Anolis sagrei: one gene and its partner. The protein of the gene in region 1 purifies or fractionates together with the protein of each later gene. This does not show direct contact. Links are inferred from orthologs where the notes say so. Each region holds a gene or a part of one and is shown on either strand. Other genes may lie near its edges. The genes, in order: ARRDC1 and ZMYM2.

The links.
Region 2: the proteins of ARRDC1 (region 1) and ZMYM2 purify together in Homo sapiens (affinity purification with mass spectrometry; 3 studies listed by BioGRID and IntAct, counting the BioPlex papers as one, with this or other methods). This does not show direct contact. The link is inferred for Anolis sagrei from reciprocal best matches to the Homo sapiens genes ARRDC1 and ZMYM2.

Annotation. Positions count from the first base shown.
Region 1 is NC_090031.1:9,262,206-9,278,202, forward strand, and holds the start of ARRDC1 (arrestin domain-containing protein 1), read left to right. Parts: upstream 1-7,780; 5' UTR 7,781-8,204; coding exon 8,205-8,322; intron 8,323-15,997. UniProt on the Homo sapiens protein: Functions as an adapter recruiting ubiquitin-protein ligases to their specific substrates. Through an ubiquitination-dependent mechanism plays for instance a role in the incorporation of SLC11A2 into extracellular vesicles.
Region 2 is NC_090023.1:27,914,508-27,930,786, forward strand, and holds the start of ZMYM2 (zinc finger MYM-type protein 2), read left to right. Parts: upstream 1-10,179; 5' UTR 10,180-10,329; intron 10,330-11,739; 5' UTR 11,740-11,830; intron 11,831-16,279. UniProt on the Homo sapiens protein: Involved in the negative regulation of transcription.

The DNA of each region.
Region 1 (15,997 bases):
TTCATGAGAATGTTTCAGAGGGAGACCTTGAACTTTCCCTCCCTTCTGCACCTGTTAACTGTAATGACGACAGAAGGGGCCAAATTTGGGAAGACAGAAGTAAATCACTCAGTTTGCGTCGATCCTCCCGAATTCAAGAATTAAAAACATTGGCTTCAAAAAAGAAGGCCGGTTCACGGAACCAATTCTTGAATTTTAATTGCCTTACGCCGGGCTGACCGTCTCAGTTCAGGCATCGTTTCAGAATTGATGAAGACCTTGGCAGTTCTCCCGGTTCCCTGGCCATAGTTTGGGAAGATTTCTAGGATATCAAGTACGGTTAGTGGATTGCTAACAGGTTCCAGTATTTCACAGTGAGGCTTTTGGTTTTGCTTTGTCCATTTAAATTCATGTTTGCTGATTTTGCTGTGGCTTTTGACTTGCATTTTTCCTTTATTTTGTAACCATTTTTCTTCAATAAAAAAGGATTGTTTTTCACAGCCAAGTGTGGTGGATAGTTATCTTAGGGCCTCTTTCCCTGCTCTGGATTGCAACACAGAAGTAGTAACAGTCAATAAGGAATTGAGTGAAGAGCTGAGCTATAAGGAGGGTTCCCAGGGGAAACTACCTGTAGCTACAGAGATCAAAGTAAGTCTTTGTTTACAAATTAGAGCCCAAAATAGATTACACCAGGCTGAAAGATTATGTGGGAAAGTTGGAGAGAAAATTCACGGGAGACGTAATGCTTTCATGAGTGTCTATTAAATAACAAGTTGTTTGTCTTAAAGGCAGTTCAGGCAACGCTGCGTTAGAGTGAGAAGCTAAGCCTGAGTTATCTTGTTCTTGGTTGAAGTCAAGCCTTGGTTTTGGATTTTAATATCCTGGAAGTTTTCCATGTTCCTGTCCACGTACTCCTGTTCAAGTTTTTACTAGTTGTACCTTCTTGCTTGGGGGCTTATGCTGTAACTGTGATTTCTGGCTGTTCCTGGATTTTGTCACCTCTGGAACTTTATGAGAGAATTGGATTATTGTTTGGTTATCACTTGTTGGTGAACTTTTTTTGAATTACAGTATATATCTTTTTTTTTCTTATTCCTGTTTTTTCATATGGTTGTATCATAAATACAAGTGGGTGCTAGAAATAATATCTGATGAAAGCTGACTGGCACAACCTGGGGATCACAACCAGACACAGTGAAGACATCTGCCCTTGCGCTATGCTACTCTGCTGCTGAGTACGCATGCCCAGTGTGGAACACATCTCACCACACTAAAACAGTAGATGTGGCGCTTAATGAGACATGCTGCATTATCACGGGGTGTCTGCGCCCTACACCACTGGAGAAATTACACTGCTTAGCCGGTATTGCACCACCTGACATCCGCCGGGAAGTAGCAGCCAATAGTGAAAGGACCAAGGCAGAGACATCTCAGCTCATCCCCTGTTTGGGTATCAGCCAGCATGTCAATGACTTAAATCTAGACATAGTTTTCTAAGATCTACAGAGACACTCGCTGGAACACCTCACCAAGTAAGAGTCCAAAAGTGGCAGGCTCAAACAGAACCTCAACCAATGGCTGATACCAAATGAGAGACTTCCCCCTGGGCACACAGAAGAGTGGGCAACTTGCAAGGCACTGAACAGACTGCGCTCTGGCACCACGAGATGCAGAGCCAACCTCAAGAAATGGGGCTGCAAAGTGGAATCTACAACATGCGAGTGCGGAGAAGAGCAAACCACTGACCACTTGCTGCAATGCACCCTGAGCCTTGCTACATGCACAATGGAGGACCTTCTTGCGGCAACACCAGAGGCACTCCAAGTGGCCAGATACTGGTCAAAGGACATTTAATCAACTACCAAGCTTGCAAATTTTGTATTTTGCCTGTCTGTCTGTCTGTTTGTTTGTTTTGTTTTGTTCTATTAGAAATGTAATACAGTTGATTGGTTGTATTTCTGGACTCTTTTGTGGTGTGGTGGTCATAGGTGTTTCCAGGCCTGGAGTGCAACAGTAGACATCTTGGAAGAGGCATTCTTCTATTTACAAGAGAAAACTTATCCAACAGGCTCTGTGATTGACTCAGGTTTAGTGCTGACATGATCTGTCACCAATTCTAGAGTCCCAGCTCACGGTCTTGTGGATACTGGCATGCCAGGAGAGCATTTTTACCATAGTTCCTCTCTCTTCTGTCACTACAGAACAAGTTACTCTAGCTTTCAGATGACCACAGCTGAACCCATGAGCCTTGAAGCGGCTGCCTTGATTTACCCTTATGCCATTATGTAATTTGTAAAACCAATTTGTGCCAAGTGGATCAAGCTACGTTGCTACTCTTTTGTGGGACCATTATGCCCTGGATGCAAGGCTACATAAAGACCTTCCAAGGTGCTAAACCAACCTCTCTCAACCATTATGACCTGGAGGAACCCTAGAAATAATAATTTTTCAGGTCTTAGGGAACCCTTGTGTAGATATTATTATTATTATTATTATTATTATTATTATTATTAATTTATTACCTGGAGGAACCCTAGAAATAATATTTTTTCAGGTCTTAGGGAACCCTTGTGTAGACATTATATTATTATTATTATTATTATTATTATTATTATTATTATTATTATTATTTTATGACCTGGAGGAACCCTAGAAACAATATTTTTTCAGGTCTTAGGGAACCCTTGTGTAGACATTATATTATTATTATTATTATTATTATTATTATTATTATTAATTTATGACCGGGAGGAACCCTAGAAGCAATTATTTTTCAGGTCTTAGGGAACCCTTGTGTAGACATTATTATTATTATTATTATTATTATTAATTTATGAAATGGAGGAACCCTAGAAACAATATTTTTTCAGGTCTTAGGGAACCCTTGTGTAGACATTATATTATTATTATTATTAATTTATGACCTGGAGGAACCCTAGAAATAATATTTTTTCAGGTCTTAGGGAACCCTTGTGTAGATATTATTATATTATATTATATTATATTATATTATATTATATTATATTTTTATTTATTTACAGTATTTATATACCGCCTTTCTCACCCCTGGGGAGACTCAAAGTGGTTTACACATAAATAATGGCAAAATTCAATGCCTTACATTTGGCACCAATACGATGCCAATACAAACAATTACAATAGTAAAACCACAATTAAACATAAATCATAATTAAAGCAATATATCATAGAATCATCGAATCAAAGAGACCTCATGGGCCATCCAGTCCAACCCCATTCTGCCAAGAAGCAGGAATATTGCATTCAAATCACCCCTGACAGATGGCCATCCAGCCTCTGTTTAAAAGCTTCCAAAGAAGGAGCCTCCACCACACTCCGGGGCAGAGAGTTCCACTGCTGAACGGCTCTCACAGTCAGGAAGTTCTTCCTCATGTTCAGATGGAATCTCCTCTCTTGTAGTTTGAAGCCATTGTTTCGTGTCCTAGTCTCCAAGGAAGCAGAACACAAGCTTGTTCCCTCCTCCCTGTGGCTTCCTCTCACATATTTATACATGGCTATTATATCTCCTCTCAGTCTTCTCTTCTTCAGGCTAAACATGCCCAGCTCCTTAAGCCGCTCCTCATAGGGCTTGTTCTCCACACCCTTGATCATTTGAGTCGCCCTCCTCTGGACACATTCCAGCTTGTCAATATCTCTCTTGAATTGTGGTGCCCAGAATTGGACACAATATTCCAGGTGTGGTCTAACCAAAGCAGAATAGAGCATGGGTAGCATTACTTCCCTAGTTCTAGACACTAGGCTCCTATTGATGCAGGCCAAAATCCCATTGGCTTTTTTTGCCGCCACATCACATTGTTGGCTCATGTTTAACTTGTTGTCCACGAGGACTCCAAGATCTTTTTCACACGTACTGCTCTCGAGCCAGGCATTGTCCCCCATTCTGTATCTTTGCATTTCGTTTCTTCTGCCTAAGTGGAGTATCTTGCTTTTGTCACTGTTGAACTGTCAACAAGCATTAAAACAATAAAACAGTAACCTGTTGGGCAGTTAGGAATATGTTAACCTATTTTACACTTATTGACAGTTATATATTCATAACAGTTAGGCATTCATAACAATTATGAATATGTAATGTACCGTTACGCATTATTAACTACTAAGTATTCATGGTGCCTTGTTTAGTGGCTACATTGTTGTTGTGTGCCTTCAAGTCATTGAACCCTAAAACAAAGGGATTCGATGGGACTTGCACTTGCCTTCCTCTGAGGCTGAGAGAATGTGGTTTGCTAAGTTCTCCATAGCCAACCTGGGATTTGAACCCTGGTCTTCAGTGTCATACTCCCACACCCTAACTGGTATACATCGCTGTCTGTGGATGCTGGGAGTTGTTGTCAACACTCTGAAGGTGCGGATCATGCCCACTACAGACCTTGACCTACTATACCCATCATCCCCAGCTTTAGATGTAGGGAGTTGTCCTCCGATACTCTAGAGGTGCTAATCATACCCACCACAGACTTGGTTTACTATACTCATCTCACTGATGATGATGATGATGATGATGATGATGATGATGATGCAATGCAACCTGAGCCTTGCTACATGCACAATGGAGGACCTTCTTATAGTAACACCAGAGGCACTCCAAGTGGCCAGATACTGGTCAAAGGACATCTAATCAACTACCAAGCTTGCAAACTTTGTGTTTTGTTTTGTTTGTTTGTTTGTTTGTTTGTTAAAAAATGCAATACAACTGTTTGGTTTGCTCCTGACATGATAAATAAATAAATATTGATGATGATGATTTGTGTTGTCAAAGACTTTCATGGCCGGAATCGCCGGAATCAGGAGCCCCCGGTGGCACAGTGGGTTAAACCCCTGTGCCGGCAGGACTGAAGACCGACAGGTCGCAGGTTCGAATCCGGGGAGAGGCGGATGAGCTCCCTCTATCAGCTCCAGCTCCTCATGCGGGGACATGAGAGAAGCCTCCCACAAGGATGATAAAAACATCAATTCATCTGGGCATCCCTGGGCAATGTCCTTGCCGACGGTCAATTCTCTCACACCAGAAGCGACTTGCAGTTTCTCAAGTCGTTCCTGACACGACCAAAAAAAATTGGCCGGAATCACTGGGTTGCTGTTTTCCGGGCTTATGGCCATGTTCCAGAAGCATTATCTCCTGGTGTTTCACCTGCATCTATGGCAGGCACCCTCAGAGGTTGTGAGGTCTGTTGGAAACTAGGCAAGTGAGGTTTATGTACCTGTGGAATAATGTTCAGGGTGGGAGAAAGAACTCTTGTATGTTTGAGTCAAAAGTAAATAGTACAATGGACCAGCTTGATTAGCACTGAATGGCCTTGCAGCTACAAAGCCTGGCTGCTTCCTACCTTGGGGAAATCATTGGTTGGGAGGTTAGACGGCCCTAATCGTTTCCTGTCTGGAATTCCTCTGGGTTTTTTTTTTAGAGTTGTTCTTTATTTACTGTCCTGATTTTGGAGGGTTTCTTTAAAATACTGGTAGCCAGATTCTGTTGAAATTGTCCACATGCTTGTGGGTTTCAATGGTTTCTCTGTGTAGTCTGACATGATGGTTGTCAGAGTTGTTAGAGAATCCTCCCAACAAAGGATTCCCCCAGCCAAAAAGCAGGGTAGGAGCAAGAACTCCTGTCTGTTGGAGACCAGTTGGGAATGTTGCAGTTGGCCACCTTGATTGGCATTGAATGGCCTTACAGCTTCAAAGTCTGGCTGCTTCCTGCTTGGGGGGGCAGCTAACACCTCCCAACCAAGGATTCCCCCAGGCAGAAAGCAGCCAGGCTTTGAAACTGCAAAGCTATTCAATGCTAACCAAGGTGGCCCATTGCAACATTCACACTGCAAAGTCAATCTGTGAGGGCATAGAGGTCTGTTGGAAATGAGGCAAGTTTACTGTGAGACAAGTGGACTGTATCTCTGGAATGATACATTCCAGAGATACAGTCCACTTGCTTCACAGTCTTTTGGAGGCAAGTGTAAATGTTGCAGTTGGCCGCCTTGATTAGCATTGAATGGCCTTGCAGCTTCAAAGCCTGGCTACTTTCTGCTTGGGGGAATCCTTGGTTGGGAGGTGTTAGCTGCCCCCCAAGCAAGAAGCAGACGGACTTTGAAGTTGCAAGGCCATTCAATGCTAACCAGGGTGGCCAACTACAACATTCCCAACTTGTCTCCAGTGGATAAGAGTTCTTTCTCTCAACCTGGGCATCACTTGCCTAGTTTCCAACAGATCTCACAACCTCTGAGGATAGAATCATAGAATCAAAGAGTTGGAAGAGACCTCATGGGCCATCCAGTCCAACCCCCTGCCAAGAAGCAGGAATATTGCATTCAAATCACCCCTGACAAATGGCCATCCAGCTTCTGCTTAAAATGCCTGCTAAAGATGCGGGTGAAAGGTCAGGAGAGAATGCTTCTGGAACTTGGCCAGTCTGGAAAACTCACAACAATGCAATGATGGGATCTGAGAGAAAGAGCTCTTGTCTGTTGGAGGCAAGTGGGAATGTTGCAGTTGGACACCTTGATTAGCATTGAATAGCTTTGCAGCTTCAAAGCCTGGCTGCTTTCTGCCTGGGGGAATCAATTGTAGGAAGGTGTTAGCTGGGCCCCAAGCAGGAAGCAGCCAGGCTTTGAAGCTGCAAGGCCATTTAATGCCAATCAAGGTGGCCAACTGCAATATTCCCAACTTGTCTCCAACAGACAGGAGTTGTTTTTCCCACTGTGGGCATCACTTGCCTAGTTTCCAACAGGCCTCACAGCCTCTGAGGATGCCTGCTTGGCTGCTTTCCGCCTGGCGGAATCTTTGGTTGGGAGGTGTTAGCTGGCCCCCAAGCAGGAAGCAGCCAGGCTTTGAAACTGCAAGGCCATTCGATGCTAATCAAGGCGGCCAACTACAACATTCCCAACTTGTCTCCAATGGATAAGAGTTCTTTCTCTCAAACTGGACATCACTTGCCTAGTTTCCAACAGACCTCACAACCTGTGAGGATGCCTGCCGTAGATGTGGGTGAAAGGTCAGGAGAGAATGCTTCTGGAACATGGCCAGACAGTCTGGAAAACTCACAACATTGCAATGATGGGATTCAAGAGAAAGAGCTCTTGTCTGTTGGAGGCAAAAGTGGATGTTGCCATGGGCCACCTTGGTTAGCATTGAATAGCCTTGCAGCTCCAAAGCCTTGCTGCTTTCTGCCTGGGAGAATCCTTGGTTGGGAGGTGTTATCTGTCCCCCAGAGTGTATACAGAGAAAGAGCTCTTGGTCGTTGGAGGCAAGTGTGAATGTTGCACTGGGCCACCTTGGTTAGTATTGAATAGCTTTGCAGCTTCAATGCCTGGCTGCTTTCTGCTTGGGGGAATCCTTGGTTGGGAGGTGTTAGCTGGCCCCCAATCAGGAAGCAGCCAGGCTTTGAAGCTGCAAGGCCATTCAATGCTAATCAAGGTGGCCAACTACAACATTCCCAACTTGTCTTCAACAGACAAAAAATCTTTCTCCCACCCTAGACATCACTTGCCTAATTTCCAACAGACCTCACAACTTCTTAGTATCTTTGCCGTAGATGTGGGCGAAATGTCAGGAGAGAATGCTTCTGGAACATGGCCGGACATCCCGGAAAAGTCACAACAACCCAATGATGATTGCTGTCCCCTGAAGAAGGGAGGGAGATGATGGGATTCGAAGTCCTAACAATCCCTCTGGATTGGTCTTGACGTCACTTGGCCAGCTCTCCTTGGCCCCTCCCTCAGCTCAGCTGCCACCAATCTGAGGGGCGGGGCGAAGGGGGCGGGGCTTGGAGGAGAGGGGGCGTGGCCTGAGCGAGGTTCCTTCCAGGTAGAAGGGCCCGGAAAGGCTGTGCGTAAAAGGGCAGGAAAGACACCTCCGTGCGTAAAAGCGCAACACAGCTCGGTGCGTAAAAAGGGGAAGAGAAGAAGACCCCCAAGAAGAGCTGGGAAGCCTCTGCTCCTGGGACGAGAAGAGAGGGAAAGGCAGGCAGGGAAGGAGGACATTGAGGGGCCAGATCTCGCCTTCCGCGGATCCCAGCTTCCCCCTTCCTCCCGCGGTGCGGAAAAGGGCAGGAAGGAAGGAAGGAAAGACCTCTCCCGTGCGTAAAAGCGCAGGGAAGCTCGGTGCGTAAAAGCGCAGCAGGAGAAGAGGAGGAGAGAGAGGGCCAGGCCTGGCCTTCTGCGGCCCCCTGCTCCCCCCTTTCCCTCGCCAAGCCCACCATGGGGAAGGTGCAGCTCTTCGAGATCCGCCTGGGCGAGAGCCGCGTGGTCTACAGCCCCGGAGAGCCCCTGGTGGGCACCGTCACCCTCCGCCTGGCAGCCAGCCTCCAGTACCGAGGTGAGAAAGAGGAACCTGGGTTGGGAAAGAGCGAAGGGAAGCTCTCTCTCTCTCTCTGTGTGTGATGCTCCTTTGCTTGTCCCTGAACTGCCCAGAGACCCTTCTTCTGGCAGGATGGCACTGAGAGGAGGCTTCTCTGTGTGGTCAGCGGCCACCTTGATTGGCATTCAGTAGTCTTGCAGCTGCAAAGTCAATCGGTGAGGGTAACTGCAGAGAGGTCTGTTGGAAACGAGGCAAGTGTACTGTGTATATCTGGAATTATGTCCGGGAAGGGAGAAGGAACTCTTGTCTGTTGGAGTCAGGTGTGAATGTTGCCATTGGCCACCTTGATAAGCACTGAATGGCCTGGCAGCTGTAAAGTCAGTCAGTGAGGGTATCTGCATAGAAGTCTGTTGGAAACTAGGCAAGTGTACTGTATATATCTGGAATTATGTCCGAGGTGGGAGATGGAACTCTTGTGTGTTGGAAGCAGGTGTGAATGTTGCCATTGGCCAGCTTGATTGGCATCAAATGGCCTTGCAGATGCAAAGTCAATCAGTGAGGGGATCTGGATAGAGGTCGGTTGGAAATAAGGCAAGTGGGGTGTATAGCTATCTCTGGAATGATGTCCCAGGTTGGAGAAGGAACTCTTGTCTGTTGGAGGCATATGTGAATGTTGCTATTGGCCAGCTTGATTAGTATTGAAAGGTCTGGCAACTGCAAAGTCAATCAGTGAAGGTATCTGCCTAGAGTCTGATGGAAACAAGGCAAGTGGACTGTATGGAAGGATGTCCCAGGTTGGAGATGGAACTCTTGTCTGCAAGTGTGAATGATGTCATTGGCCACCTTGATTAGCATTGAGTAGCCTTGCAGTGGGAAAGTCAATCAGTGAAGGTATTTGCATAGAGGTCTGTTGGAAACTAGGCAAGTGGTCTGTATATATGTATTTCTGAAAGAATGTCCCAGGTTGGAGAAGGAACTCTTGTCTGTTGGTGGCAGGTGTGAATGTTGCCATTGGCCAGCTTGATTAGCATCAAATGGCCTTGCAGATGCAAAGTATTTTTAAATTTTAATTTATGTCTAATTGTAGTGTATAATTGTGAGAAAAGCGGTATACAAATACTATAAATATGTAAATAAAGTCAATCAGTGAGGGGATCTGCATAGAGGTCGGTTGCAAATGGACTGTGTGTGTATATATCTGGAAGGATGTCCCAGTTTGGAGGAGGAACTCTTGTCTGTTGGAGGCAAGTGTGAATGTTGCCATTGAGCATCTTGATTAGCATTGAGGAGCCTTGAAGTGGAAAAGTTAATCAGTGAGGGTATCTGCATAGAGCTCTGTTGGAAACTAGACAAGTGTACTGTGTATATCTGGAATTATGTCCGGGGTGGGAGAAGGAACTCTTGTGGGTTGGAGGCAAGTGTGAATGTTGCCATTGGCCACCTCGATTAGCATTGAACAGCTTTGCAGTAGCAAAGTCAATCAGTGAGGGTATCTGCGTAGTCATTTCCAGTGAGGGAATCTGGAAATAAGGTAAGTGGACTGTTTATATATATGGAATGACGTCCAAGGTGGGATAAAGAAATAACTCTAGTCTCAGTTCTTGTGGGTTTTTTCGGGCTATATGGCCATGTTCTAGAGGCAGAAATGCCTCTAGAACATGGCCATATAGCCCGAAAAAACCCACAAGAACTGAGTGATTCCGGCCATGAAAGCCTTCGACGATAACTCTAGTCTGTTGGAGGCAGGCGTGAATGTTGCCATTGGCCACCTTGATTAGCATCGAATGGCCTTACAGATGCAAAGTATTTTTTTTTGTATTTTTAAAATTTAATTTATGTCTAATTGTAGTGTATAATTGTGAGAAAAGTGGTATACCAATACTGCAAATAAATAAATAAATAAATAAAGTCAATCAGTGAGGGGATCTGCATAGAGGTCTGTTGGAAACGAGGCACGTGGACTGTATATATGTATCTCTGGAAGGATGTCCCGGGTTGGAGAAGGAACTCTTGTCTGTTGGAGGAAAGTGTGAATGTTGCCATTGCTGGCAACTGCAAACTCAATCAGTGAAGGTATCTGCATAGAGTCTGTTGGAAACAAGGCAAGTGGACTGTTTATATATATGGAATGATGTCCAAAGTGGGATAAAGAAATAACTCTTGTGCGTTGGGGGCAAGTGTGAATGTTGCCACTAGCCACCTTGATTAGCATCAAATGGCCTTGCAAATGCAAAGTCAATCAGTGAGGGGATCTGCGTAGAGGTCTGTTGGAAACAAGGCAAGTGGACTGTATAAATATGTATATGTATATATATATAATCATAGAATCAAAGAGTTGGAAGAGACCTCATGGGCCATCCAGTCCAACCCCCTGCCAAGAAGCAGGAATATTGCATTCAAATCACCCCTGACAGATGGCCATCCAGCCTCTGCTTAAAAGCTTCCAAAGAAGGAGCCTCCACCACACTCCGGGGCAGAGAGTTCCACTGCTGAACTGCTCTCACAGTCAGGAAGTTCTTCCTCATGTTCAGATGGAATCTCCTCTCTTGTAGTTTGAAGCCATTGTTCCGCGTCCTAGTCCCCAAGGAAGCAGAAAACAAGCTTGCTCCCTCCTCCCTGTGGCTTCCTCTCACATATTTATACATGGCTATCATATCTCCTCTCAGCCTTCTCTTCTTCAGGCTAAACATGGCCAACTCCTTAAGCCGCTCCTCATAGGGCTTGTATATATATATATGGAATGATGTCTGAGGTGGGATAAAGTAATAACTCTTGTCTGTTGGAGGCAAGTGTGAATGTTGCCATTGGCCAGCTTGATTAGCATTGAATGGCCTTGCAGCTTCAAACCCTGGCTTCTTCGTGCCCGGGGGGATCCTTTGTTGGGAGGTAATAATAATAATAATAACCTCTGTTTCAAAGCCTCCAAAGGAGGATCCTCCAGCACTCTCTGAGGCAGAGAGTTCCACTGCTAAACAACTCTCACAGTTAGGAACTTCTTCCTCATGTTCAGGTGGAATCTCCTTTCATGTAATTTCAAAGATGCTCATCTGTCTTCATTTTGGGGGAAAGGTGCCAGTTAGCAAGAAGAGGTTTCCTTCCATCTTGGCAAAGAGGTGCCTTGATGGATTCTTCTTTCCCTCCTTGCTTGGCAAAGAGGTATTCACATTTTCCAAACACCTTGGGGACTGTGTTTCTTCTTTCCTTCCTGGCCAGGAAATGTTGGGACCAGTGGTGCAATATTTATATTTCCCTCCCTTTTGGCAAAGAGAACCTGGTGCCTGAGGAGATGCTTTTCTTCTTCCCCTTCTGGACTCGTAACTGGAGTTACTAGTAACCAGTTTAATTATTTTGTTTTCATGTTTTTATGATAGAACCAGCAACAAAAATGGTGTTACATAGAGTAACAACAACAACAGCAATATGTTAATGAAGGTTTTCATGGCTGGAATTTTCCAGGCTGTTTGGCCATGTTCCAGAAGCATTCTCTTCTGACGTTTCACCCAAATCCAGAACAGTCATCCTCAGAGGTTGAGGAAACTAAGCAAGTGGGGTTTATATCCCTGCAGAATAATGTCCAGGGTAGGAGAAAGAACTCTTGTCTGTTGGAGGCAAGTGTGAATGTTGCCATTGGCCAGCTTGATTAGCAGTGAATGGTCTTGCAGCTTCAAAGCTTGGTTGCTTCCTGCATGGGGGAATCCTTTGTTAGGAACCATAAAAATAAATGACATCGGCCTCCCAGCATTAAAAAAATCTAAAATCAGGAGGGTAAATAAAGAGCAACACTCAGAAAACAGGGAAATTCCAGACAGGAAACAACCAAGGCCAGGTAACCCCTCTCAACAAAAGATTCCCCCAGGCAGGAAGCAGCCAAGCTTTGAAGCTGCAAGGCCATTCAGTGCTAATCAAGGTGGCTGATTGCAACATTCACACTTGCCTTAAGCAGAGAAGAGTTCTTTCTCCCACCCTGGACATTATTCCACAGATATATAAACCCCACTTGCCTAGTTTCCAACAGACCTCACAAGCTGTGAGGATGCCTACCATAGATGTGGGTGAAACATCAGGAGAGAATGCTTCTGCAACATGGCCATACAGATCAGAATACTCACAGCAACCTAATAATAATAATAATAATAATAATAATAATAATAATAATAATGGCGATCGGCACACTGGGTGCAGTACCTAAAGACCTTGGCCTGCACTTAAAAACAATCAGCATTGCATCTATTAGCTGCAAAAGTCCACCCTACTCAGATATGCCAATATATCACCCAGTCCTAGACACTTGGGAAGTGACTGACATGTGATCAAATACAAAAGCCAGCATGGTGTGTACTAATCTTGTTATGTATAAAATAATAATAATAATAATAATAATAATAATAATAATCCACTTTTTCTTGCATCTCGAAGCAGAGTGCAACAGAACTAATACTGAGCAATAAAAGCAACACTACAAAAGTACATAATAACAAAATACACACAATAACAAGGCAACACCAATAAATAATAACAAAACAACACAAATAAAATGTGCTGAAATCGCATAATTAATTAGTGCTGGGGCTCCCACCAGCCAAGTCTCTAGAATGCCAGTTTCTTCCATCAAAGTTCTAACCAGGGCTGACACTACATAATGTTCAAGATCAGAAGGGAATTGTGCTTTTAGGGATAGTTCGGTGTAAAGTAAAGGTAAAGATTTTCCCCTGACATTAAGTCCAGTCGTGTCCGACTCTGAGTGTTGATGCTCATCTCAATTTCTAAGCCGAAGAGCCGGCATTGTCCATAGACACCTCCAATGTCATTTGGCCAGCATGACTGCATGGAGTGGCGTTACCTTCTCACCAGAGTGGTACCTATTGATCTAGTCACATTTGCATGTTTTCGAACTGCTAGGTTGGCAGAAGCTGGGGCTAATAGCGGGAGCTCACTCTGCTCCCTAGATTCAAACCTGCGACCTTTTGATCAGCAAGTTCAGCAGCTCAGCGCTTTAGCCCACTGCGCCACCCCCAACTTATGTTTATAATATTTCAGAATATAATATATATAATATTATAAATATTTATAATATTTTGCCACTTTGACCATGCTTTAGTGTTTTGCTTTTCACTTGAGAACTACTGGAAAGCAGGCAACCCCTTGTTTCTAAAATTCGTATTGCTGAACTGAAGGGTGGCTCAGCAATGTTTTGAATCTGTATGTCAACAAGGAAGTGGGAACAAGCAAGCACCTTCATCCAGGTGTAAAATGAACTCTGCTCAAAGCCTCTCCTCTGGCAGGGATTCAAGGTCTCCTTGCAACGAAACAGAGCCATCTCTTGGGGAATATTGCATGGAATATTGTTCTGGTTGCCGGGATCTTGGTGCATCCTTTCCCTTTTGTCCTTCAAACTAAGAGTCGGGAAAGGTTTCAGAGACATCCTTGTGTGGGCGTTCTGGTTGTCAGCACATTTTTCTCTTTGAGATAATCTTTCAGGACCTTCCTTAACCTGGACTACAAATCCTACTAGCCCTGGTTGTCTGGTTCTGTCACCAGGGATGGTGGGAGTTGTAGTCAAAAACATTAGAATCATGGAGTTGGAAGAGACCTCGTGGGCCATCCAGTCCAACCCCATTCTGCCAAGAAGCAGGAAAATTGCATTCAAAGCATTCCCGACAGATGGACATCCAGCCTCTGTTTAAAAGCTTCCAAAGAAGGAGTCTCTACCACACTCCGGGGCAGAGAGTTCCACTACTGAACGGCTCTCACAGGCAGGAAGTTCTTCCTAATGTTCAGGTGGAATCTCCTTTCTTGTAGTTTGAAGCCATTGTTTTACGTCCTAGTCTCCAGGGGAGCAGAAAACAAGCTTGACTTCCTCTCATGTATTTATACATGGCTATTAGGAGCCCCCAGTGGTGCAGTGGGTTAAAGTGCTGAGCTTGTTGACCAAAAGGTTGCAGGTTCGAATCTGGGGAGCGGCGTGAGCTTCCGCTGTCAGCCCCAGCTTCTGCCAACCTAGCAGTTTGAAAACCTAGTAGTTCACCTACATCCAGAGAGGACTGTAGACTCAAACAATGATGGATCTGGACCAAACTTGGCATGAATACTAAATATGCCCAAATGTAAACAGTGGTGGAGCTTGGGGAAAATAGACATTGACATTTGCGAGATGTAGTTGCTGGGATTTATAGTTCACCTGCAAATAAAGAGTATTCTGAACTCCACCAATGATAGAATTGGGCCAAACTTCCCACACAGAATCCCAATGACCAACAGAAAATACTCTGTTTTCTGATGGTCTTTGGTGACCCCTTTGACACCTCCTCATGACCCCCCTCCAGGGATTCCGACTCCCAGGTTGACAAACGCTGGGCTATGGGCTGATGGAAGTTGCTGTCCAATATCCCTGTGCTTTAGGAGTTGGGGGCTGTTTTCCAGAGACTGATCAAGGCTAAATGGGCAGCTGCATCCCTCCAAGTGTTGTTTGATTGCAACTCTCATTCTCCTTCAGTAGAGATTGAGCTGACTAGATGCTAATGGGCATTGCGATCCAACATCTGTAGGGTTTGGCATGGCCTTATAGGGTCTGGATGCTTTGTGGAGACTGGCAGAGATGGGCAGCCACAAATCTTCCAGGTGGTTCATTGCAAGTCTCAGTAGATCCTAGGCTGGCTAGTGGATGATGGGTGTTGCAGTCCAATATCTAGGGTCTGGGATAGTGTTGTCGAAGCAAGGGGATACTATGTGGAGGTTGGCTGGCTACAGGGCAGAAGTGGGCACAGACTGAACTGGCTAGTGGGTGATAGGCATTGCAGTCCAACGTCTGTGCGGCCTGTGGTTGTGCTGTAGCAGTCCAAGACTTACTTACTTACTTACTTACTTAGGCAATCCCTCGTTGTGGGATAGGATAGGATAGTCTTCCAAGATCAGTGTACTCGTGGGTCCGTAGGTGACTGTGGAGTCATGTTCTTGACCTGCATGTTCTCCCGCAGTGAGGGCATTGGTTTCCAGGTGGAAGGCGGTCCCGGTCGGGGTTGGTTTGACGTGCCTTCCTCTTGGCACCTTTCTCCCTTTCACCCTCCATTCGTGCCTCTTCAAATTCTGCAGCACTGCTGGTCACAGCTGACCTCCAGCTGGATCACTCAAGGGCCAGGTCTTCCCAGTTCTCAGTGTCTATGCCAGAGTTCTAAAGGTTGGCTTTGAGCCCATCTTTAAATCTCTTTTCCTGTCCTCCAACATTCCATTTTCCATTCTTAAGTTCAGAGTAGAGCAACTGCTTTGGGAGACGGTGGTCGGGCATCCAGACAACGTGGCCGGTCCAGCAGAGTTGATGGCGAAGGACCATCGCTTCAATGCTGGTGGTCTTTGCTTCTTCCAGCACGCTGACGTTTGTCCGCTTGTTTACCCAAGAGATTTGCAGGATTTAGAGTGGCTTGTAGATCTTCTTCTGAATGCGCAGAAGTCCAAGAGAAAAATGAGAGATAAGCAGTGTCAACCCTTTGAATGTCCTTGGACTGCAGTTCCCATCATTCCCTCTCCACTGGCTATGCAGGCGAAGGGCTTGTGGGGGCTGCCATCCTCTGCATGTGGAGAATCCTCGCTCCTTCTCCACTCCTCCTTCCGCCTTCCCTAAACTTTGCAGCTCAGCCGTGAATAAGCAACCAGAGCTCCAGTCTGCTGATTGAGCAGTTCAGGGTTCGGGTGAATGGAG
Region 2 (16,279 bases), on another chromosome or scaffold:
AATTCCTTCTTTAAAAAGAAAAGTGTTAGAGTGCCAAAGCTTCCTCCAGCAAGAAGAAAACCACGAGATGCATTTGCTGTTGAATGAATGCACTGCCTTGATTCAATGCTATGGAGCCCTAGGGGATGTAGTTTGACAAGTCCTTGAGCCTTCTCTGCCGAATAATGAGCATACATCACCAAACTACAAATCCCAGGATTGCACAGCATTGAGCCACAGCAATTAAATTATTGATTATGTCCCTCAAAGAAAAGTCCCAGTTGCTCCTGAAGCAACCTTTTTGCTTTGATTCAGCAGTAAGATTACCATATTAAACAAATCTAATGCGTTCCATAATTTTGGCAAGGTAATTTTGGCCAAAAAAGGTGAGCATTGTATTCAAGTAAATAGGGTATTTGTAAATATATATAGACTCATAAGAGCTTGCACTGTACTGCCCTCCAGTGGACTTGCAATGCTAAAATAGCTGTGCTTATATATCTATTAAACAGTACCATAGTTTAATGCCAATTTAATTTCCTGCTAGGGAATACCTGTCCACCTCTAGACTACATTTCTAAGATATCTTGGAGAAGTGAAGGATTGCAGATGATATAAATTATATTCTGTGGTCTGGACAGAATGGGATTGGGAGGGGCTGCAAAATTTAAAGGTTATTTTTAATGTGTTTATTATATTTTTATCTGTTTTTACTACACTGTTACTTTTTAATTGCTTTTTTCAACTTTTATATTGTGCTTTTTAAACTTGAATAAAGTTTGTGTTTTGCATTTTCCTCTCCTTGTGTTACTTTTAAAAAAAAAGATACAAAGGACTGTTCTTCTTCTGGTCTGCATGCATCGTCAAACCATAACACTCTGGTCTACTGATTTAATTGAAATCAATTAGTAAAAACAACATACTAGAGCATATGTATAACATATTCTGTTGCACTTCTATTACTAGGGTTATCAAAACACAATGAAAAAGGCAATTAAAAGTAGGATGACACGAGATGTTTAGTAAGGAAACTGCTGTCCCCAATCCTGTTTTGGAGAAGTCCAGGACCACCCACATTTTGAGGAGTACATTGGCTGTTTCCCCATGTTTTAGATCCCAAAGAGCCCTCTTTTTTCAACAGAAAGTGACTCAAAAATTTACTATCTTATCTATGTCTCCCTTCTACCTGTTAGTTTTTCTTTTCCTAAGATAGTTTTTGAGGATGTTTTATACTCTTCTGTGTTTTCTCTCTCCTTACTGGCAGTCAACTAGGTAAATAACAAAAAAAAAGAGTCACCAGCTGAAATTGCACTGTTAGCCCCTCTCTATCATGTAAAAAGGTCTATATGGATGCCACTTTTTGTTTGGTTTTTCCATGCCACACTTATATTAGAATTTGACCACAGTTTCTTTTCCACTCTCTAAAAAAAAAGAGAGAGAGCCAGCTTAATTCCGAAGGTTTTTTTAGCCTTGTGAAATATTATAATGTTCTCATGGTTGTGAAAGCTGGTCAGTGAAAAAAATTATAAGAAGAAAAATTATAAGAAGATAATAAACTAATTTGAAATCTGGTACCGGAGGAGAGTTCTGATTATACTACTGAGGTTGAATTTAGACCAGGACCACAGATATGTCGGGGCCCATGGCTGGCAAGCATTTATGCTAACAGCTCAAAGTTTCAGATTAGAAAACACACTCACCAGGGTGAAGACAAGCAACAGAGGTTTAATATAATGTGACCAGAAAGAATGCATGTATGGCTGATGTCAAAATGTACAAGCATAATATGTAATACAGAGACATAAGGCTTTATACAGTTGACAGCTATTCAAGCTTCCCACTCTGCCTGCTCCCCTTTCTGATTGGCCAGCAGAGAGGAGGTCTGAAGAAACATCCTAAACTGGCTGGCACTTTGGTGACGTTGCTGCCTCCAGCCAGAGTTTGTCTGGTGAAGGAGAGGGAGAACAACTGGCCTGGGAGGGCCAATCAGCTGTTGTAGTAGGGGAAAGGGGGCTCTCCAGAGAGAAGGCAAGCCCTGGAAGAATCTATCACAAAATGTCAATAAGTTCTTTGTTCTTTGGGGAAAACATGTGTGCAGGACCCTGGAACAAGAGGATATGATCTTCTGTAATCAAGCCTTGGATGTCAAATAAAAGGATTTAAAGAGTACAAATATATTGAGTCTCTGTTTATGTGGTCAGTCATCTCCTAACCTGATTGGAGCACTAAGCTGGACAAAAACCAGCTGGCGTTATCAGATCAGGGGCAGAAACTGCCTGCCGATCCACATGTACACATAAGGAATATAAATTGTCATTTTTTCTAGGGCAGGCCAAGAATCTGCCCAGCCCAAATATCCAGGAAATTCCTCAGTGGGGTAAGCAAGGAGGTGACAGTCCCTGTGATTTGTTGGGCAGAAATTATGTATTTGATACATAAATTAGATACATAGAAGAATGAGTCAGAGAGCAAAGGATATAAGTTAGTTGAAAAGTTGTAAGAAAATATGTATTCTTATTAAAGGGTTGGGAAACAATAGAGTTCCTGTATTAGATCCACTGCTGCAGCTGAGGTCTGCATGTGCACTGATATGTATTAGCACATATCTGTGGGGTTTTAATAAAATAATACATAAATTAAAATTAATTTTGGAGCAGAGTTGTGGCTGCTGATCTGCCAGTCCGTTTTGTGCTTGGTCAAAATTGCAGGTGTTCAGTGGAGGAGAAAAAAGAAAATAATTTACTTTTATTCTGGTGCACTTGGAGAACTATAAATCTCCGGGGTGGTGGATGCGACATTCGACAACACTATGCACTGCCAAAAAGAAAATGACATGGGTTCTAGAGGAAATCAAACCTAAACTCTAGAAGCCAGGATGAGAAAGCTGAGACTCACATTTTGGCCATGATTCACTAGAAAATGCTTGGTAAGATAGAAGACAGTAAGAAAATAGAAAGTTCACTGTTGGATAGACTCAATCAATTAAGCCATTAAAATGTTCTGAAGCAGTATAGTATTAAAATACTAAAAGGCACGTCAAACACCAAAATCCCACTAGTGTGTGTATGCTTCCAAGTCACCTGTGGATTTATCCATAAATTTCATACAACTTTCTTAGGCAAGGATTATTGAGAGGTGGCTTTGCCAATTCCTTCCTCTGAAATACAGCTTTCAGTATTTTATAGTAATTTGCCATCTCGCATCCAAATACTAAACAAAGCTGACCCTACTTAGCTAATCAGACAGGATCTGGTGCCTTTAGGGGGATGTCCCATTTTTATCCCCAAGGATTGTGCAGCACAATAGCTGTACAGCAGAACTAAATACCAATATAATAATATGTGATAAGGCACAAATAAAGCAGAACTGAACCACAGTTATGACAGTATAATGACATCATGTAATAAGGACCACAGTCTTCCTATCTTTTGTCACTTTCTAATAATTAATTTCTTACCTCTTGACCAAAATACTGTGTTAAAATAAGGATCTCTCTGTTTTGAACCATTAATATATTTATTTCACTCTTACACTGTTGCACATAAAACATATACACCCCCACTCTCAAACACCATACGTAGCAACATAGCATAAACAGGATTAATTTTAAAAAGGAGATGATGAAGAGGAAGATAATAAGATCTTGCATAACATTGTTGAACTGTAAAATGGTGATCCCTTTGGGAAAATTGTTAATTTGACATTCTTTCTCAACATTCCAGATCTGAGCTGTGCAAATCATGAGATTATGCATGGTGGGATGTGCTAGATAATTTGGTCTAAATCCAACTAGTTTTTTTTATGTAACAGTGCACATTTAATTTATTTTATTATAATATATTTTATTTACATTTTGATTTATCCCAGATTAAAAACCAAGGTGGCTCACAGATTAAATGAGTTAAAATTTTACTATATAACTTTACAAAACAATTCAAACAGTATAAAATTATTTTAAAAGAATGCAAAATGTAATGACATTTTTTCACTCTGTAGCTATGTCTAAATACTGTTACAATGAAACACAAATGTTGATGAGCTACCACTTGTCAACATCACTCCTTCCTTTGCAACACATTAAAATATTCTTCCTATTCACAAGTGTAACAATGCATCAATTACTGGAGACACAATAACCTGTAAGATTTCAGATCAACCAATGTAATCCTGAATCATGATATAGGATAAGAAACATCAGCTCCCAGAGCTCCAGCACTCTTTGGCAGAGAAGGTTAAAGACCTTGCAAAACTACAACTTCCTTTATTCCATAGTGTTGAGCCATGGCAGTTAAAGTCTACAGTGTAGATGCATTCCCCGTTCTTCTGTCAGCAAGTAAAGACTGGCTGCTTATAAAGATAGGGCTTTCAACAAAATGTCCTACTGTTGTTCTTTGTTGATTAAAAATTATTAAATCAAGACTATAATTTAATTAATGTAAATAATATTTTAACAATAATCTCTGCCTGTTTTGCACATCAATGGGTTCCTACCCAGTTACCATTAATTAATCTAAAAGATCAGGATGAAGGCCAGAATAATAGCAATGTGCTCTGAATAATTTGACATTTTAAGGTTAATATGCTTAGTTTCCTGCAGATTATAGCAATCAATTTCAGCTGTAAATGGATATGAATCAAATCTATGCATAGGTTTGTATTGGTAAAAACTTTTGCTCCCAACCGTCTTGTTTAAAAATGTTTAATCTGTATGCCAGGTATTTGTCATACTTTTGAGTCTTATCATGTCAAGATGTCATGTCTTATCATATGTATTTACTGTATTATTATAAGTGTCTTATTTTAACTTACTACGTGGAGTGTGATCAGGTCCTGTCAGGCCTTGTTGTTCTGTTTCTTATTGTGATATGGCCTAAGGGATAATCAATAACATTACTACTACTACTATAACAGGCTGTGCTTTTTTATTTAATTTTAGTTTGTTAAGTTATAATTCGTATTTCTATGATGAGTTGTATAAAGGATGTTAGTATGGATGTATTGTTGATGTATTCGGGCATTGAATATTTGCCTTTTATGTTTGGAATCCGCCCTGAGTCCCTTTGAGGAAATAATAATAATAATAATAATAATAATAAACTTTATTTATACCCCGCCACCATCTCCCCAAGGGGACTCAAGAGTGGCTTACATGAGGCCAAGCCTAGCGATACATTACAGCAACATAAAATACAAACAACAAAATAACATCACAATAAAATAAATAAACCAATCAAGTAAAATAAACAGTACAAAATAACATAATGGAAAATAAAACACAGTGGGCTGGCCAAATACACGACATAAAATTATAAAACACTGGATGAGATAGCAATGAAAAGGTATATTTGTGAGGGAGGAGCTCATGGGGGATTGGACAGTGGAATTAGACTTTCAATGAGGTGGGGGAAAGTGTAATGTGAGGGAAGCAGTGTAGGTGAAACAACATGACTGGAATATATGGTCACTCTCCAAAGGCACATCTGAAAAGCCAAGTATTTAGATGTTTCTTAAAGGCTGCTAGGGTGGGGGTTTGCCTAATCTCACCAGGTAGCGAGTTCCATAGCTGGGGGGCCACAATGGAGAAGGATCTCTTCCTTGTTCCCACAAGTCGTGCCTGTGATAGAGGAAGAGGCAAAAGGAGGGCCTCCCCTGAGGATTGGAGGGAACGTGCAGGTTTGTGGAGGAAGATGTGGTCACGAAGGTAGGCGGGACCCAAACCATTTAGGGCTTTATAAGTGATAACCTGCACCTTGAATTGGGACAAGGAAATGAACGGCAGCCAATGGAGCTTCTTAAACAGGGGGGTTGACTGCTCCCTATAATTCACCCCAGTTAGTAGTCTGGCTGCCGAACGTTGAACCAATTGAAGTTTCCGGGCCGTCTTCAAGGGAAACCCCAAGTAGAGTGCATTGCAGTAGTCCAGTCTAGAGGTAACTAAGGCGTGGACCACCATGGTAAAGTCAGACCTCATGAGGTATGGTTGCAGCTGGTGCGCAAGTTTTAATGGTGTGAAGGCCCTCCCAGCCATAACCGACACCTGCGCATCAAGTATCAGCACAATCCAGGAGGACCCCCAAGCTGGGGATCTGTGACATGGGTAGTGCAACCTCGTCAAGCACAGGTTGCCACCCATTACCCTCATCAGACATACGACTGACCTGGAGTACCTCTGTCTTGTCGGAATTAATCTTCAGCTTGTTCGCCCTCATCCAGATCATCGTATCCGAGGGGCTTTCTTGGATTCTGATGAAAAAGAGTAGTGGAATTGGGTGTCATCTGCGTAGAGATGGCACTGTACTCCAAAACTCCAGATAACCTCTCCCAGCAGAATATAAATAAAGATAGAGCGGAATACAAATAAAGTTTTTATTATTATTACTTATTATAAGCGAGACTCTACTGTGAATAAAGAAATAATAAATAAAAATGTGTGAAAAAGATCTTGGAGTCCTCGTGGACAACAAGTTAAACATGAGCCAACAATGTGATGTGGCGGCAAAAAAAGCCAATGGGATTTTGGCCTGCATCAATAGGAGCATAGTGTCTAGATCAAGGAAAGTAATGCTACCCCTCTATTCCGCCTTGGTTAGACCATACCTGGAATATTGTGTCCAATTCTGGGTACCACAATTGAAGAGAGATATTGACAAGCTGGAATGTGTCCAGAGGAGGGCGACTAAAATGATAAAGGGTCTGGAGAACAAGCCCTATGAGGAGCGGATTAGGGAACTGGGCATGTTTAGCCTGAAGAAGAGAAGGCTGAGAGGAGATATGATAGCCATGTATAAATATGTGAGAGGAAGCCACAGGGAGGAGGGAGCAAGCTTGTTCTCTGCTTCCTTGGAGACTAGGACGCGGAACAATGGCTTCAAACTACAAGAGAGGAGATTCCATCTGAACATTAGGAAGAACTTCCTGACCGTGAGAGCCGTTCAGCAGTGGAACTCTCTGCCCCGGAGTGTGGTGGAGGCTCCTTCTTTGGAAGCTTTTAAGCAGAGGCTGGATGGCCATTTGTCAGGGGTGATTTGAATGCAATATTCCTGCTTCTTGGCAGGGGGTTGGACTGGATGGCCCATGAGGTCTCTTCCAACTCTTTGATTCTATGATTCTATGATTAGCATTTAATGGCTTGGAAGTGCCTGGGGGAATCTTTCTTTGAGAGGTGATTTGATGTGCCTGATTGTTTACTCTCTGTTGTTTTGTAGAACAGGCCTGGGCAAACTTTGGCCCTCCAGGTGTTTTGGACTTCAACTGGTACAATTCCTTAAGCAACGAAGGTGCAAAAAGGAAAGTGCCAGAGGCTGTTAGGAATTGTGCCAATTGAAGTCCAAAGACCTGGAGGGCCAAAGTTTGCCCAGGCCAGGTGTAGAACCGTGTTTTACTTACTTAGGTGATCCCTCGTTGGACGAGTAAGATGGTCTTCCTTGATGACTATTTTTGTGGGTTTGTAGGTGGCTGTGGAGCCCTATTCTTGACCCGCATCTTCTCCCACAGTGAAGGCATTGGTTTCCAGGTGGAAGGCGGTCTCGGTCGGGGTTGGCTTGACGCGCCTTCCTCTTGGCACGTTTCTCTCTTTCACCCTCCACTCGTGCCTCCTCGAATTCTGCAGCACTGCTGGTCACAGCTGACCTCCAGCTGGAGCGGTCAAGGGCCAGGGCTTTCCAGTTCTCAGTGTCTATGCCAGAGTTTTTAAGGTTGGCTTTGAGGCCATCTTTAAATCTCTTTTCCTGTCCACCAACATTCCGTTTTCCGTTCTTAAGTTCAGAGTAAAGCAACTGCTTTGGGAGACGGTGGTCAGGCATCCGGACAAAGTGGCTGGCCAGAACCATGTAATGCTGTTGGAACTAAAATGATTAAGGGTCTGGAGAACAAGCCCTATGAGGAGCAGCTTAAGGAGCTGGGAATGTTTAGCCCGAAGAAGAGAAGGGCAAAAAGGAAAGTGCCAGAGGCTGTTAGGAATTGTGCCAATTGAAGTCCAAAGATCTGGAGGGCCAAAGTTTGCCCAGGCCAGGTGTAGAACCATGTAACGCAGTTGGAACTAAAATGATTAAGGGTCTGGAGAACAAGCTGGGCCGGCCACGTTGTCCGGATGCCTGACCACCGTCTCCCAAAGCAGCTGCTCTACTCTGAAATTAAGAATGGAAAACGGAATGTTGGTGGACAGGAAAAGAGATTTAAAGATGGCCTCAAAGCCAACCTTAAAAACTCTGGCATAGACACTGAGAACTGGGAAGCCCTGGCCCTTGACCGTTCCAGCTGGAGGTCAGCTGTGACCAGCAGTGCTGCAGAATTCGATGAGGCACGAGTGGAGGGTGAAAGAGAGAAACGTGCCAGGAGGAAGGCGTGTCAAGCCAACCCCAACCGGGACCACCTTCCACCTGGAAACCAATGCCCACACTGCGGAAGAAGATGCAGAGCAAGAATAGGGCTCCACAGCCACATGCGGACCCACAAGGAAATCCATAATGGAAGACCATCTTACTCGTCCAACGAGGGATCTCCTAAGTGAAAGTGAAGGAGAACAAGCCCTATGAGGAGCAGCTTAAGGAGCTGGGCATGTTTAGCCCGAAGAAGAGAAGGGCAAAAAGGAAAGTGACAGAGGCTGTTAGGAATTGTGCCAATTGAAGTCCAAAACACCTGGAGGGCCAAAGTTTGCCCAGGCCAGGTGTAGAACCATGTAATGCAGTTTGAACTGCATGCTAAGGTCAGAGCAGTTTGAACTGCATGATATAGTCCAGACTGCTCGGTGTAGAACCCAGCCTTAGCTTCTCCCTGGGTTTATTTGTCCACCTGGAGGGTAATCTTTTAGCTCTTTCCCCGTAAACACAGAGAGACAGAGAGAGAGCGCCCTCCTATTAAATAGTTTTGGCTTAAACCTGTTGGCTGCCTCCGTTTCAAAAAGTGGCGCTGCTCCAGTCACTTTGGCGTTTTTATTATTATTATCATTATTTTTTTGGTGGCGCATGAGAATTAGCCAGAGCTCCAAAGAGCCAAGTTGTTAAGACTCCTTTGCTTCTCCTCCCGCGCAATTACACACACACACACACACAAAACATAAATAAAGCCTTTCCCTAGGGAGTGTGCAAGCGTGAGAATGGCTGCAAGGTGGAGTGAGGGAAGCGAGGTGGTGTGGAGATATATATATGTGTGTGGTTTTGTTTTTCTTTCCTGCCTCTTTTTTGTTCCCTTTTTTTTGTCACAGCAGGGTCACAACGGGTGGCTCCAACCAAAACACGAGCCATGGATTGGGAAAAAAGGAAGGGAAGGGGGAAAAAAAACTGGGGCGAAGCCAAGCGCGCAATAGGAGGAGAAAGCGCGCATCCTCCATTTTGGTTTGAGGGGAAAGTGGGGAGCTTTGGCTGTGGGTGGTTTCCTTCCCACCGCCTTGGGGCTTCCTTGGAGGTTCCCTCTCCTCCTTCAGGGCTCCCTCCTTGAGGGGAAAAGGGGCTCTCCTTTCAGAGCCCCATCTTGCTCTGAAGGGATCCCCCAGAGAAGCTCCCCATTGCAGCAGCAGCAGCAGCAGACAAAATGGAGGACGCCACCACCATTCAACCACCACCACCACTTCCACCACCAGGAGCCGTGCTGGGCTTCATTGCCTGGGATTGGTCTCCCTTTTGAGGAGATTATTGGAAGTTGAAGAGCATGGGCTCCTCTTATTAGTGTTCATTTTGGGGACATTTGGGAGGGCGTCCCTATTGTTGCCCCTCATGTTGCCCCTCCCCCTCCCCCAGGGCGCCATGTCCTGAGGCACCAATTCCAACCAAACGACCCCATTATGGAAATGGGGGCGCCTCCTCAATGATTGCCTGAGATTGTGGAGGGTAAAATCCATGGGGGGGGGCAGGGAATGGACCACCACTACCACTGCCACCTCTTTTTGTGGCAAATGTGGTTATTATGTGATTTATTACTATTTGGTTACTATTGTGATTATTGCTTCATGGAGGGCCAACAGAGCGCCAACTTCTGCCCCAAAAGCCCTCAGGAAGCAGCGCCCCCTTGAGGGACGCAGAGGCAACTCGGGTTGTCTCTAACCTGAGGGATACCAAAGAAAGGGGCGGGGCTACGAGGCGCGTGATTGGCAGGCGGGGGCGCTCAACCAGCCGCGCGGGATGATGACAGGCAGGCGGTTGCTCCAATAGCTTTCCGGGCGGCAAAGCCCTCCCCCTGAGGGAGCCAATAGGCGCGAGCACGAGGCTGCCTATCCACCCCTCTCTTTCCCTCTCCCTTCCCCCCACCTCCCGAAGGTTGGGTTTGTCCCTCCTTCGCCTCGCCAGCAGCGGCGGCGTTTATCCCGGGACTGGACCGAGTTAGAGTTGAGGCACTGGCGCGGGAAGCCATTAAACGGTGAGAGAGGCAGGAGGAGACACGTTGAGCCCTTCGAGTGGAGAGAGAGAGAGAGGGCGGTTAAAGCAGGGAGGGAGGACTGCTGAGGGGTATTTGGCTTGATCCATTTTAGCACACCGGGAGGGGGGTGCGATTCCTGTCAAGCGCGGCTTTGAAGCCCAGCGGCCTCCCTCCTCGCAGTTTTTTGTCTCTTTTTTGTTTCCGTACTCGCTTGCGTTCCCTTTCCTCTTTTTGCCCTCTCCCTTCCCCCCCCCCCTCCGTATTGTTTGGTTGGGTCCCCATTAATGGCGGCCGACCCGAGGCTGCAGTACCGCTGGCCGACAGCAGGGGGCCAAGCGCGCCGCCCGGGGCAATTGGGAAGGGAGGCCGAAGGGACAGTTGGGCCGGCCCACTTTCCCCAGAGGGGGGGAGGAGGGAGGATTGCATGCGGTGGGGCTGTTTTGTGTGTCAGTGGCGGGGGAAACCCTGGAGGCAGTTCCTCCCTTTCCGTCTTTGGTGGGGTATTGTGTGTGTGCGTGAAGGAGAAACTCCTCCCCTTTGCCCTCTTTCTCCACCTCTATTCCCCCTCCCCCCCCCCTTTATCCCCTTCGCCTCTACCTTCTCTCTGGGGCAAGAGGCGCCCATTCCACTGGAAAACTGTAGGCCTAAGGGAACTGGAGGTAGACATTTGGGACCTCTCTGGGGCCACGCAGCGAGGCAGGAAGGAAGGAAGGGCGTCTCCTGGAGGGGAAGATGAGAAGGCCCACCCACCTACTAATGCCAGCATTTTTACCCCCAACACCACCATCTCTTTATTTGGGGTACAAATAGAGAAGGGGAAGATAAAGGGAGCCCACCAGCCCTATTCTGGCCCCTTTTCTCTTCTTGACTCCAGCATCAATATATCTTTTGAGAGGATTGGGGGCTCTCCCTCAAAGAAGGAAGGGCGTCTTCTGGAGGGACAGATATGGCATGCCCACCAGCACTATTCAGGCCCCTTCTCTCTTCTTGACCCCAACATCAACATATCTTTTGAGAGGAGGGGGGCGTCCTTAGAGGATTGGGGGCTCTCCCTCAAAGAAGGAAGGGCGTCTTCTGGAGGGACAGATATGGCATGCCCACCAGCCCTATTCAGGCCCCTTCTCTCTTCTTGACTCCAACATCAACATATCTTTTGAGAGGAGGGGGGCGTCCTTATAGGATTGGGGGCTCTCTCTTAAAGAAGGAAGGGCGTCTTCTGGAGGGACAGATATGGCATGCCCACCAGCCCTATTCAGACCCCTTCTCTCTTCTTGACCCCAACATCAACATATCTTTTGAGAGGAGGGGGGCGTCCTTAGAGGATTGGGGGCTCTCCCTCAAAGAAGGAAGGGCGTCTTCTGGAGGCATGCCCACCAACTCTATTAATGCCCCCTTTTCTCTTTTTCTCAGGATTATCAACACCTCCTCCTCCTCCTCTCTTTTCCCCAGGCCACTTTGGCGCAGCCTTGGCAAAGCCCAACCTGGAGAAAGGAGCTCTATTGTGAGTGCTATTTATATATGCTTTTTTGCCTGGGGGAGGAGGAGGAGGAGACTTTTTTTTTCTTTTTTGGCATTTGGGAGGAGGGGCTTCCAGGGCAATGGTGGGGTATTGGGTGCAGCAGGGGGAGCATTAGCAGCTGCTTGCTGCCCTGGAGCAAAGCCCTGTAATGGCCGTGAGGAGACTCCTCCTCCTCTCCCTCGGGGTGGGCTCTGCTGCAGACAGCGCTCCTGCCATAACCAACACCCTCCTGCTGCTGCTCCTCCCCGCTTTAACCAGGCTCTTCTCTGAGAAGGATATCTTTCGAGAGCCCTCTAGAGTTTTGGAGCCAACACCAAAGTGACATACTATAGGCAACCGGCAAAAAGGTCACAGAAATAATAAAAAAATTAAATTGTTTATAATAAAGTAAAATCAGTTTTTATAATATAGTATTAAGGCTTATCAATAATAATATTTACTTATTTATTTATATTCCACCCTATCTACCCTAACCATTTAATGAAACCAGTATTGAAGAAAGTGGTTTTGCTGTGCAACCAGTATTGAAGAAATTGGTTTTGCTGTTCAGATGATTACACAGGAAATCTTGGAACTGATTTGGGGGCCAAATGGTGGTGTTCACACAAACCACAGATACTGATGCACACATTAAGGGTTTGCTTTTGTGGGAGTTTGTTGTCTGGCAGCAGCAGCTTGAAACTTGCTTTGAACTGCATTAAATGGTTAGTGTAGAAGGGGCCTAGGTTAAGTTTGTCTGTATTTTCTTTTAATTACAGTATTTCAATATTAATAACAAGTCAATAAAGAGTTTATGATATGTTATGGGATATAGTGTTTGATCTCTGTTGAAGAGTAACTCTCAAGTTCCCAGCAACTACATATATCTGGCATCTTCCTATCCCCATATGTGCAAATACACTGATAGTCCACTGTGTTTAACCAGGTTTCCAATTTTCATTCCCTCACAACTCTCCCAATGGCCTGCAACCTTACTTGACTTTGTGGCTGGGTAGGAGAGACTTAAAATAATCCAATCTTTGGCAAAGTGTGGTTGCTTCTTCTTTTTCTTTCATGGAACTGGATTTGTTGAGGGTTTGGGTGCATCTTCACAGAATTAATACAATTAGACACCACTTTTACTGCCATGGCTTAGTGCTATGAAATCATTGAAGTTGTAGTTTGGTATTTTATCTTATCAGGAGTGAACCAAAGGTACTGTTTTAATGTATTTTTTAAAAAGATACAAAGTTTAAAAACTTGATAATTATATTAATTGTCCTTTGACCAGTAATTCGCCGTTTGGAGTGCCTCTGGTGTCACTGTAAGAAGGTCCTCCATTGTGCAATGTGGCAGGGCTCAGACTGCATTTTAGTAGGAGATCTGTGTTTGCTCTTTTCCATGCTTGCGTGTTGTGGACTCGCTTTTATAACCCCATTTCTTAAGGTTGGCTCTGCATCTCGTGGTGCCAGAGCACAGTCTGTTCAGTGCCTTCCAGGTCGCCCATTTTCTCTTTTGCACAGGAGAGAGTCTCTCATTTGGTATCGGCCATGGGTGGAGGTTTTGAGTTTTAGCCTGCCACTTTTGGAGTCTTGCTTGCTGAGGTGTTCCTGCGAGTATCTCTGTAAATCTTAGGAAGCTCTTTCTTGATTTAAGGCATTGGTATGATGGCTGATATTTGAACAGGGGGTGGGACAGAGATGTGACTACCATAGTCCTTTCATTATTGGTTGCTATTTCCTGGCGGATGTCAAATGGTGCATTACCGGCTAAACAGTATAATATCTTCAGTGGTGTACAGCACAAACACTCCGTGATAATGCGGCATGTCTCATTAAGACCCACATCCACTGTTTTAGCGTGGTGAGGTGTTCCACACTGGGCATGCATACTCCGCAGCAGAGTAGCGTAGCGCAAAGGCAGATGTCTTCACTGTATGTAGTTGTGATCCCCAGGTTTTGCCAGTCAGCTTTTTTCATATTGTTTCTAGCACCCACTTTTTGCTTGATATTCAAACAGTGCTGCTTGTAGGTCAGAGAACGCTCCAGGGTCACTCCCAGGCATTTGGGTGTGCTGCAGTGCTCCAGTGGGATTTTTTCCCAGATAGTCCTCAGAACTCAAGATTCTTGTCTATTCTTAAGATGAAAAGCACATGTCTGTGTTTTAGATGGATTAGGAATCAACTGATTTTCCCTGTAATAGGTACCTAAAGCTTTGGAGAGCTTCTGTTCAACCATATCTCAAAGATCCCTGCTTTAGCGGTGATGGTTTGGTGAGACACCAGAATTCTTTGGCAGAGAATGCTAAATACCTTGTATAACTACCAAGTCCATTATTATGTAATGCTTTTGTTTTTATTATTTGTGTTTTTGGCATCTAACTGTTGCCTATATGTGTAAGCCGCCCTGAATCTCCTACGAGGTTGAGAAAGCTGGGATATAAATACAGTAGATAAAGAATAAAAGTTCAATAGTATTGAGCCATGGAAATTAAAATGGTGTCAAACTGCATGAATTCTAGAGTGCAGAGGTGGTGGGGAAAAATTACTCTTGGACACAATTGGCATTTTCAGGCATTCTCTGGTGCATATCTGCCTTGTCGCTATTTCCATCCCTGAGGTTGGTTGTCACTGTTCTATTTGTGTGTCATGGGAGCAAGAGTTTGCAGGGTGTTGTGGTTGTTTTCTGTTTCAATGTAATTTTTTATCATTTTGAGAAAATGGCAGTTACCTCGTTTTCCTTTAACATCATGGTGAAATGTTTGTGAGTAGCATGTAATTCTGTGTGTACAATGCTCATGGCCTATTACTTGGAAACTGACAGCAATTAATCAATAGTTGCTTGGGATGGATCTCTTAGAATCCACTGGTAATGTTTCCATAGCTGACCTGGAGGAGACAGTCATGATTGGATGATTCAAGATCAGTGTCAGTCTTATTCTTGAGAACTTACATTTTTAGATGGTGTATTGTTTAAAGAGCATGGATTAGGCATTAGTATTTTATAAGGGTTTGGGGAAGAATAGATAATACATTTTGTTTCTCAGGGACAACTATTTTCCCAACCTAAATATAATGTATTAAGTTTACCCGTGTTTATATTATATTTATTTTGTTAGTTAGGCTCACTTTTCCAATCTCTTACACCCTTTCTGAATCTTGATTCTGGAGTATTAGCTGCTCCTCCTAATTCGGTTTTACCTGCAGATTTTATAAGCGTGTCCTCTGTTCCATTATCCACACTTATAAAGCTGTTATTTACCTTGATTAATTCATTGTTGCTCAATATTATCATTCCCTAAATCATTTTAAGTGAATGTCACAAAACTAAGCAAATACAGTAGTAATGAAAAATAGCTCTAAGGGACCATTTGACCACTTTCTTTATGTGTAATGTTTCTAGTATCATAGATAGAAATGGATGATTTGATGAAAGTATTGCTGAATAGTTCAATGTTACATTAAGAACTTTCAAGTTAAGGTTTACAGTGTTTTGAAGTTCATACAAGTATAGGAGATGGTTTGGTCTGCTTTGAAGACTATGACCTGTACTTTATTTAAACCAGGGTATACAGAAACCCAGGGCAGCAAAGGCACATAAATGCACACATCACTTCAATATTCTTAACTGTCCTGTGTTGAAACAAGAAAGATTTGGTTTGGTTTGTCCAGGAGACATCATAAGCATCCACTTCTTAATTATATGGAGGCTTCTACTCTTCTTGAGTGCAACACATTTTTCCCAACAGAAAAATAGGGGCTGGGTGGGTTTTGATGTCTGTGTGGGCCTTATCCACACTCTCAGTTCATGATAACTAGGTAAAATGCCTGCACAAGATTTACTTATAGTTATGATTACCTAGGAAAGCGTTATGTCAAAAACACTTGATAATATTTTGAAGTAAATACACCTAGATGGGAGGATTGTAATATGCTCACTGTTCAAGCCACATTAGAATATGTTTGAGAAGGTAGAATGATTTGAGCAGGGAAAGCTGTGATTCCAGTGATATTTCTAGTATAAGGCCAGTTCATACTTGAAGTTTAAGAGACTTTGGCCCTTGTCTCCTGTGAATTTCCTCCTCAACTTTCCTACATAATCTCTCAGACTGGTGTATCTCTTTGGCTCTGATTTGTAAACGAAGACATTTGTTGATCTCTGTAGCTACATGTGGTTTCTCCTGGGAACCCTTCTTATCACTCAGCTCTTCACTCGTTTCCTTATCTGCTATTGCTACTTCTGTCTCCTCGGACTGGCTTTGAGACCTTACACTTTCCAAGCCTGTTTTCTCACAGAGAAACATCATTTCCCAGACCTAAATTTCTCAGACTTGAGCCCCCATCACTTTTGCCTCAGGAAAGCCCATAATCCTGTCCAAATCATCAGTTAAACCATCAGCCTCTGGCTGATGTACATCAAGAATCAGAAAAGCGAAACCTCTGAGTTTAGGCTA